Linked DNA regions of Canis lupus familiaris. The protein of the gene in region 1 purifies or fractionates together with the protein of each later gene. This does not show direct contact. Links are inferred from orthologs where the notes say so. Each region holds a gene or a part of one and is shown in the gene's direction. Other genes may lie near its edges.

Evidence for each region. Proteins that work in one complex are often made in the same cells at the same time.
Region 2: the proteins of FAM53C (region 1) and DYRK1A purify together in Homo sapiens (affinity purification with mass spectrometry; 8 studies listed by BioGRID and IntAct, counting the BioPlex papers as one, with this or other methods). This does not show direct contact. The link is inferred for Canis lupus familiaris from reciprocal best matches to the Homo sapiens genes FAM53C and DYRK1A.

What each region holds. Positions count from the first base shown.
Region 1 is NC_049232.1:25,988,426-25,993,671, forward strand, and holds the start of FAM53C (protein FAM53C), read left to right. Parts: upstream 1-1,945; 5' UTR 1,946-2,259; intron 2,260-2,362; exon of another isoform or gene 2,363-2,714; intron 2,715-3,188; exon of another isoform or gene 3,189-3,206; intron 3,207-5,246. Other genes in the region: SLBP2 (uncharacterized LOC474694), read left to right, coding at 101-253, 397-517, 1,283-1,411.
Region 2 is NC_049252.1:32,307,265-32,311,996, forward strand, and holds part of DYRK1A (dual specificity tyrosine-phosphorylation-regulated kinase 1A), read left to right. Parts: intron 1-1,243; coding exon 1,244-1,530; intron 1,531-4,032; coding exon 4,033-4,179; intron 4,180-4,732. UniProt on the Homo sapiens protein: Dual-specificity kinase which possesses both serine/threonine and tyrosine kinase activities. Exhibits a substrate preference for proline at position P+1 and arginine at position P-3.

The sequences.
Region 1 (5,246 bases):
TCTCAGGAAATCCCTAATGAATCTCTGAATTCACTGTGATAAACAATGCACTGTGCCCCTTTATTTTGGCCTGAGTCTGACACTTATTTGCCATCGCCAGGGCAAAGCGACAGCCAGGACTTCACCCTCAAACACCAAACAAGAAGAGGAGGTACAGCCGCCGCTCCTGGGATGCCCAGATCAGGCAGTGGAGAAGAGCCCTGCATTCCTGGGATCCCCCCAGCCAGCCCCCGAAAGGCAGGAGGTCCGAGGGGTGTGTGTATTATTCTTGGTTCCTTGTTAGGAGTGGTGGACTGAGCCCTACCTCTCCTCACTTTGCAGAGGTTTAGCTTTTTCTGGCTGAAAAGGGATAGTCTGAAAGAGGTGCATATTCCTCTGACTCTGCCACTTTCCCAGCCAGGGAATGGAGCATCTCTTAGAGCCAATGGGTTCCACACCTACGGATGACCTCCTGGATGACTGGTTCCAGGCCCTGGAACCATCAGTGAATCTGAATGAAGACCAGAAGGGAGCCCAGGTAGTATCCTTTTCTAAAACCCATTGGAGCAGGGTTAGAGTAGGGTCTGGCCCACAAGGTAACAATTAGGATGGGATTCAAGGTAGTAGTCGAAAAACAAAAGAAGAAAAATTGGGCAGCAAGAAAAAATAGGACATGAATTAAAATATCTAAGAAAAAGGTGGCATAAGGACATTTAATTGTAGTTAACAATGGTGGGAAATTGGGCTGCATTGGGGGTTATTTTATACTTGATGAAAGGAGTACAATATTTCTTGGAATTGAGGCCTTGAAACCTGATATGGCTTTTTTAATGTCTCCTTTTATTTCAATATTTTGCAAATGAGCCAATGCTAACTTTACTTCTTATTCTCAGTCACTGAACTTTAATAAAGTATGGTTGATAATAAAAACAAGGATTACCAAGTGGAATGAAGACCAAGGGCTTTAGAGCCTCAGGACTGCTTTATAATATTACCTTTGTCCACCACATGGACAATCACTTCATCTCTCCAACCATTTCAACTGTCAAATAGGGAGATTTGTCTCATTTGATGATTCTAAGCAAAAAATAAGAATACATATTAAAGTATGTAGCACGGTGCCTGGCACATAATAAGTGCTCCACAACAGCAATTATTGGAAACTAGGTCTCCCCACTTCATGGCCCCTGTCCCCTCTTTTGCCAAGGAGAAATGTGCAAGGAAAGGAAATGTGCAGTGCATCTTCCTTCCACCCCCATTTTCTTCATAAGTAGCTCACTCTGCCTCTACTCTTCTTTTTCAGTTTGCAGACTTGGTACCTCCTGCCTACTCCTTTCCCTGGCTCTATGAGGAAGAACACCACTGGTTCTACTTTCTAGCTGATCACAGTTACATACCTGTCCCAGATTTGAATGAGGCACAAAATATTTAGAGAAAGCATATGTCTTTCAAGGGACGTGTTGCTAAGTGTAACAGTAAAGATTACCTGCATTACTGCTACTTCCCAATGGATTAAAAAAAAAAAAATCTAAAACTGCCCTACAAAGAGATCACAACACGAAAGCATTGTTTAAAACTTCTTTTTCCATTTCTGCCTGCTTTTCTAAACCTTCTTTGATAGCTGAGCCTCAAATTTACATAAGAGCCAGTAACCATTTTGCTGTTCCCCAACCTCCTCCCTACTAACGTCTACATTCAGGCTTCTCAAAAAAGACTTAAACTTTGGCTGAGGTGGGAGGTGATGGTAGTGGTGGAAATTTAATAAAGGGTGGCATCCTCTTCCTGAAGAGGAAATACAAAGCTATCAACATCTTTTACCCAGCTGCCTGTTTCCTTCCTCCCTCCCTTTCTGTCTTAAGGAAAGTGGTCCAGCTGTAACCACCATACTCCCCCCCCTCCCCCGCCCACCCCCGCAAGCAACTGAACCGCCTATGATGTCATAATCACAACCCCATTACCTCATCCTGCTGGGGGGTGGGGGTGCGTAGAGGAAGGAGGAGGAGTGAGCAGCCCTGGGCCCTTTTCAGCTTTACAAAGTGTTTTGGGTGAGGGCTAATTACAGAATCAATTGGGAACGGCCCCGCAACCGTTACAAGTCCTGGGTTTATAAGGTTGGAGGGTATCCGGCAGCTGGAAGAGGGGCTCCCGGGACTCAGAGCAGGCCCTGATCGGCTCTTGGACTACATTTCCCAGAAGTCTTCACGCCGCGGGCCGGTCCTCTGCTGGCGGAAGGGGGATTCCTTCTGAGAGGTGCCCGTAGAGGGCGGGAGGAGAGAGCAGGTAAGAGCAACTCTGGCTATTTCTGTTACGCGGCCCGAACCGGGTAGGGGGCCGTACTAGGGCCAATGTTGGAATGGAGGGCGAGGAGAATCGCTTTGTTTACCTTCGTCCGACACGGTCTCCCCCGCGGGTTTGGAGCTGTGCCGCCAACTGGGTCCGTCCACCTTCAGCAATATTTTGGAGGGGGTGACTCGATAGTGAAGAAGCCACCTTCATCCCTAAATCAAAGAGCTTGGCTCATTCCCGACAGCACTTTCCAAAAAAGATTTTGGGAGAGAAGCGACGCGGGGTTCGAGCCTCCCCGGGCGGTTCAGGGCGATTCTGCGAACCAGAGCGATTCCCCCACTCTCCTTCGGGGCCCGTTGGTTCGCGCCGGCGCCTTTTAAGGGCACCGTGGGGCGAACGGAGCGCTCAGAGCTGCTCCGGCCGCGGCCCAGGGAGCTGGAGGAGCCGCGGTAGGTGGCGAGGGCAGGTGGCGCTGGGGCCTCGGGGCGGGCACCTCGACTGTCCCTCCCTCCTTCCCTCTTTCCCTTCCCCCAGCCCGGCGGCGCGCGCGGCACGGCCTCTCTGGACGCCTCCACGGGGAGAGCACGGGACCCGGTGGGGGAGGGGTTGGTGGAGTGCTAAGTCCCAGACCCTTTCCATCTCCTGCGTCCTGAGTTCGCTTCCCGCGGCCAGATGATGGAAGCTGATTGGGAAGAGGCGAAAGACAGCCCCCCTGAGCGAGCCCTGGTGCCCCCCTAGGGGCTAGCGGACGCCCCATGCCCCACCCCGCGGGGACAGGCAGGGCAACCGAGGGAGAGGTTGAAGACTGGAGGGGGGCCTAGCCTTTTGCTTCTTCATCGGGGTGGGGGGAGGGGTGCTCCCCACTTGTCACCCCTATCCCCGCCAGAGCCATATGGAGGAAGAGCAGTCAGTTCCCCACTTACCTGTTCATGTACCTCCCTGCCTCCCTCATGTTTTTCTTTAGTGTCCCCCAGAGGTGTGGGGCTGGGACCTGGGGGGAGGGTCCCCAGGGGATTTGTGACTCTCCTCCCTCTTGGCTTGATTTGATCCTGGGTTCTCCAGGTTTCAGCACAACCTTAGCATCCCTGAAACCCCAACGTCAGGGGTTACTACCATCCAATAGTAGATGGGGTGGGGGTCCAGTCTTTATTTTAGGGGGCTGTTGGTGGAGGGAAAGCCTGGATTGAGAGTTGGGCCTGGTGGGGTCGTAGGGAGGGCCTAGCGGCCTGCTGCTCTGTGAAGGGCTGAGCCCTGTGCCAGTTGTTAAGCTGAGAAGTTTTAACTTGTTTAGTGAACATTCAGGGCTGTCTCTGCCCCTCAGATACACAAAATGGAAGGGGAAGGAAGGCGGCAAGAGAGGGTTTCTTACACTTTTTTCTATGCCTGCCTGAGAAAGAGGAGGCCCCTCGCGGAGCTGGTTTGCCTTCTTTTGTGTCCTGGTTTGATTCCTTATGGCTTCCGTTCTGTTCCCCCTCTCAGCCTGGCCTGTTTTAGGAAACTCAGGCTGAGAGTATCAGTTGCGTGGTGGTAGTTGCATTGTTCCAATTACCGCCGTGTGTGGCCACATCCCAACAATTAAAATGCAGAAAAACACAAAATCACTCTCTTCACTTGATCCCAGAGAGGGCTGGGAGTTTGCTGTTTGGCCAAATGCCTCATGAAAAGCTTGAAAGACTTTGCTTCACTCCCTGCTCTTCATGGCTGGTGAGCCTGAGGCCTGGGATCTCTGGGGTAAAAGCCTGCAGTTAGGGTCCCTCTCTAGTTGATCTTTTGGGGGCAGAGTTAAGAAACCAAGAGCAATGTGATATAAGCTTTAGCTTTTCCCACAAGATCATAGGGGAAGCCGCTGAAGGGAGCTCTCAGGAAGCTAGAACTTCTTTGAGGGTGGTAATAATAATTATGCATGAAAATGATAGTTAACTGTAATGATGGTTGATTTCTCCCACAGCTTCCAAAAAACTGCAGATACATCAACACGTAGTTCTTTGCTTTTCTTTACTTACTTCTCTCCAAGGTGGAACGGGGTAGAGATGATTCCCTCTTTTTGCAAAAGTAGAAAGTACTCTACCTCCAAGGTCACAGAAGAGCTGTTTGGGGCTTCCCTGGGTGTTCAGGTGAGGGAGGTTGGCATCCAGCCAAATAGATAAACCCAATTGTCCTCTTCAGATTAATGATATTATCACATGTGGCATTCTTAGGCTGTGTAGAGCAACAAACAGGAGAGTTTGAGAAACAGTCTATGTGGACTCCTGATTTGTGCAGGTTAGATGGTATGCTTTTTACACTTTGATATTTCACATTATATTGTACCCATGACACATTAAGACATTTATTCTGCCCATTTTACATGTAGGTTAACTAAGGCCAAGAAAACTCCAGTGATTTCCCAGAACTGTCCCAGCAAATTAACACAAGACGTAGATTTCTTGAATGTTTGTTATATCTACTGGAGAATGCTACATACACCTTCTGATGAGCTGTCTGCCTGCTGGTCATTTCTGGGAATAGGCGGAACCATATGGAAACACTAGGTTATCCTCCCCTCCTCCATTGAGCAAGGCCCCTCAGGCAATTGTGTGGGCTTGAAGCCTGTTCTCTGATGGAATTAGTTTGCTTATACTGAACTTGACCATGGGAAGGAGCCTTGATTAATTGAATCCATGGTCTTTGAGTAAGATCAGGCTAAAAACTTAGTTGAATGAAGTCATACAGTTGGTGTTTTTAACATGTATAGAGTTGAAATGTAATTGGAAAAATCCTGGTACCATTTCTCTATCTTCTTAACCCTTTTAGAGAGAATATTTACAGTATCTGTTGGAAAACAATAATATATCAAACACTGAAGCTTAGGGAGAACATAAAACCTTGTTTACTCTGATTGATCTGAAGCAGAAAGTCATTCCTACAACCAGTTCTCCTTGCTGTTCCCTGTTCCTTTTAATGTAGTTTAGGGAAATGGTTACCTCTCTGATTCTGATTGG
Region 2 (4,732 bases), on another chromosome or scaffold:
GAGTGTTGAGTTGTACTGTAGACTCCTGTAGAGTCATTTAGTATTTGTATTGTTCTTTATCCTAACTTTGGATCATATGTATCAAGAATGATGTAAAAACAATCATGCACTGCTGTACTACTCAGGGGTAAAGGCAGTCCAGGACAACACAGTGTATTCCCCCTTTCTCAGGGACCAGACATCGAATACCACCATAGTTAGTTCCAGATAGATCTGTAGAGAAACTTTTGTTTTTATGAAACTAAAAGACCAAAATGAAGGTAACCTTGACAGATGGTGGTTTTATGTCATTCCAGTTGAGTTACAAGGGTTCAGTTTGGTATATATAAGATTTTTACAGGGAAGGGCAGCACTCTACTTTATTGAATGACCTCATCTGATGTGCAGTCAGTGTTAGTACTAAAAGCACAATCTTTGAAACAATTTAGTGAGTATTAAGCCTTTTTAGAGGGTCAACAGTGATCGCATGTAATGGCTTCTTACACTCTTTTTTCATTCATAAGTCTTATAATTTATTCTTGTGATTGAGCTTCATTTTCAAGTTTCCCCAGACCTTCTGTTTTGCACAAGATATCCCATATACCAGCTTGATGAACATAATCAGATGCCTTGATTATGAACTCTAATATCTTGTAAAGCATGCTTTTCAAATATTTGCTGTATTTGCCTAAAAGAAAAAAAGATCTATGTCTTCCTTTGACAATTGTTGCAGGAAATTACTAGTGAGATGTAAGGCTCAGCACAGCGGAATGTGGATATGTATCAGAGCCGGAAAGCCTTCCCAGAGAGAGCTGCCAAGTACGGCACTGTCACAACCTGGAGATCCCCGTGGGTGGAGCTTAGATGAAGTTTTGAGGTTGGGCTCTCAGGAAGTAAAAAATGCGTTCTTGTAGAAGTGAGCATAAAGTTACTGAAGTATTCTCAGTTCTGTTTGTCACTTTGCTACTTGTGTTTCCAGATCTGACTTCATTTTTTTTTTTAAACAAAACGTTTTGGTGGTACTTCTAACATTATATTGCTTATTGGCAGATACCACACCTGTTTAATTCAGCAGACAAACAATTTAGATATTCCTGATTATAGATTGTGCTATTATTGCAGAATGCCGATCTCCAAATTTTAACTTGATTTTCACTCTCCATTTGACATTGAAATGTTGTAGATTGTTTGAGAGTTCGTGCATACATTAGTCTCATTTTATTGGTGTGTATAATTTAAAATGAAACTTTTTTTTCTCTTTCAGTGCATTTGAAACGCCACTTTATGTTTCGAAACCATCTCTGTTTAGTTTTTGAAATGCTGTCCTACAACCTCTATGACTTGTTGAGGAACACCAATTTTCGAGGTGTCTCTTTGAACCTAACACGAAAGTTTGCACAGCAGATGTGCACTGCACTGCTTTTCCTCGCGACTCCAGAACTTAGTATCATTCACTGTGACTTAAAACCTGAGAATATCCTTCTTTGTAACCCCAAACGCAGTGCAATCAAGATCGTTGACTTTGGCAGTTCTTGTCAGTTGGGGCAGAGGGTAAGTATATTTTAGGACTTGGGAATTAAGACAATTAAATAAAATAGTGTTGTTAGATATTGAAGTGTTATTATTTATATCTAATTTGGAAATAATTTCAGGATGGTTCTATTTAAAATGTGCCGCTTGAATCACATTGTGTTAAGCCTATTGTGAGGGAAATCTCTCTTAAAATGCAAATATAAGATTCTGAATTAGAAGGTATTAGTTTTTTAAAAGTGGATTTGAAAAAAAAAGTCATGTATGCCTAAAAGGGAGAGAGAATAGGAGATGAGTGAATTAAATATTAGGTGATTTGTAGCTATATTCTGTAAGTAACGGGTTTAGTATGAATTTGGGGATTTCCCAGTACTAGAACACTGAATCTGTGCTATGAAATACTTCTTGAAAGGTAGATCAAAATAAATGTTTTCTTTAAAAACTGATGTGTTACAGTATAGGTTATTTTGCATTACACATGGTGATATAGTACAGAAATTACACAGTTGGTTAGACATACTTGTTTTGATAAATAAATGTAAGTCTCTTTTTCCCTATATAAATTTTGACACGTGTCCTAACTGGTTTTCCTCAGACTGCTAAAAACAGACCTATCTGTAGCAATAAATAGATTCAGGTTTAGCTAAGAAACCAGATTTTTCCTGCTCTTCTTTCTAGTGTTACAAAAGCTACTCTTAACAGTGTTGCACATATAAAACAGAAGTGATAGGTTACTCTTTTCTTGAAAGGAATTAAAATCATTTAATAATATTTTGTTCGTTTTTGAACCCTGTTCCTGTTTACTTGAAAGTGCTGAAACTGCATTTCTTGGGGGAAAAACATGAAAAACCACAACTAACATTCAGATACTATTATGTATTGGCTTTCTAGTTTTCTTTTTTCCAAATTAGTGAGAGTCTTGTCCTGTGCAGTTTTTTCCCCATGTTTTAAATATGGCTGGTTATTTTAATCATGAAGATTTATAGTCAGCTCACAGGGTTATCTGGCTTTTTTTTTTCTGCAACTTACTCATGGTAGCAGTGTTCTGTAAATCACTGAGATAAATTGAAGGATTAGAAAGCAAAGTTTGCAGTTTCAGATGCCCCTGAAAATCAGAAGATGTGCATAGTTGTTCATGTGGGTAAAGTATATCGTGAGTGGAAAACACATGCCCATCTTGAGAGTCCTTTGAATGGATTTGGATTTGGAAAAATTTCCCCCCCTTTTAAATAAAATCATATGTTCTGTACTAATACCAAATACTATTATGTCTCACCAGCCAAACTAAGACAATTAACCCTTTAGCTCAGTGAGGTTTAAACTATGTGGGTTTATCAGATTAGAATGAGAGGTCCTTTCTAAAATACACATGTGGTGGCCTTACCCTAGATCTACAGTCTCAGTCTCAGAAGGTGGCAGGGCTGGTGTATTTCAGGGGATTTAGGTGCACAGCGTTGGAGATAACCAGACGGAATAGGTGAGAAACAGACTTCTTGCAGAAGCTGTGCAATAAGACGATCTCAGTAGTAGGGAGTCTTTGGGGCTTTACCGATGCTGTTGGCCTATAGAAACTTGGAAATGTAGTAACTTCCTCCTGGCCCTTTTGAATTTCAGTTTCTTCACTCTGATACAGCATTAAGGTTGAGGTGACCAGCTTATGGGGGCATCAGATTACTCTTGGAGATTTGGCTGGAGTTTTAGATGGGAGCCACAAAAGTATTCATGAGAAAGCAGCACCATGCTGATTGATGGCTGCCTAGTTTGAGTGTTAAGTGAGGATGTTTAATTAGGATTTTGTTTGTTTCTTTCTCTTTTTAAATAAAACTTTCTTTGCTTTCATGATATTTCTAGATACAAATTTACAGGGGCTAAGGGAAGATGAATTGGTCTTTCAAGATATTCTCGATTACTTCATTGAAAATTATCCATTTCAAGATTTTCTTTTTCTAAGAGGCCTTAGATTGAGGTGGAAGGGGACAGTATAGGGAAGAAGTGATTGGTCAGAAACGACTCCCAGTTGTTTTTCCAATTTATCTGTGTGGTTAGTACATCTGAATTTTCATTTACGTTGTACTGAGTCTATTTGACTTAATGCTAAAAAACATTCTTTAGGTTAATTTAGATACAATTGAGGCCTTAAATTTATGGTTAACCAAATGCCAGCCGGAGCAGGAAAGAAGAATTAATAGGGAAACAAACGGTTTTCAATAATAATCTTTTTTCTGATGAGGCATAATTATTTGTTTTAAAGGTGTGTATTTTGATTACCAGTTAGGATTGGAATAAATGGAAGGACTTGAATTGTGTATGTTTTGCATTTCACAGTCAAGAGTAACTGCTCTCTTGAAGTGTTTAGTTATTTAAACATTATTTGTAGTAGCAAGTTGAAAGCTGTCAACAGAACCTAAATTCAGGGGATAGGTGGTTACTTTTTCTGGTAATATTAGATAGATGTACTTCAGCGTTGAGCATAATTAAACAAAACTTATGCTGGAATTAACATGATACTGACATGTATTTCAGATATACCAGTACATTCAGAGTCGCTTTTACCGGTCTCCAGAGGTGCTGCTGGGAATGCCTTACGACCTTGCTATCGATATGTGGTCCCTTGGGTGTATTTTGGTTGAAATGCACACTGGAGAACCTCTGTTCAGTGGAGCCAATGAGGTATATAATGGATTGCTTTCAAAACTCTTTTTTCACAGTTTGTTTTTGATTGTAATCTGTGACAGTGTAATCTGAAAATTGTTTTTTAGAAAAAGATGCCTACTTACCAATTTAAATATTCAAATGTTGGGTCAGTCTTTAATTTGCATTTATCCATTTTTAAATTTTTTCAATTATCCTAATGGGGAATTTAGGATTTTGAGATGGGGGTGAGATTTTTTAATTTGCTGGTAAGAACAGTAAGTTAGTTTAGAAAATGTTAAGCCTTTTGATTTATATTTTACAGATTTTCAGTATAACAAAAATAATGATAAAAGGCCTGAGGGACACTCTGAAAACAATGTAAACATCACTGTGTAAATTTTGAGAATATGATTTGGAATAAAGAAGTGATGACCAGTAGCCTTAAATTGGGTATTTGATCTGAATAATTGAGGGTGAATTAAGATGATAGAATTTTAGAGCTACACACTATGTGTAATTATTCTAATTCATGGGTTTTCAGTCTATGTTCTTAGAAGATGTTTGGGGATCAGAGCCAGTGCCTAGGAGG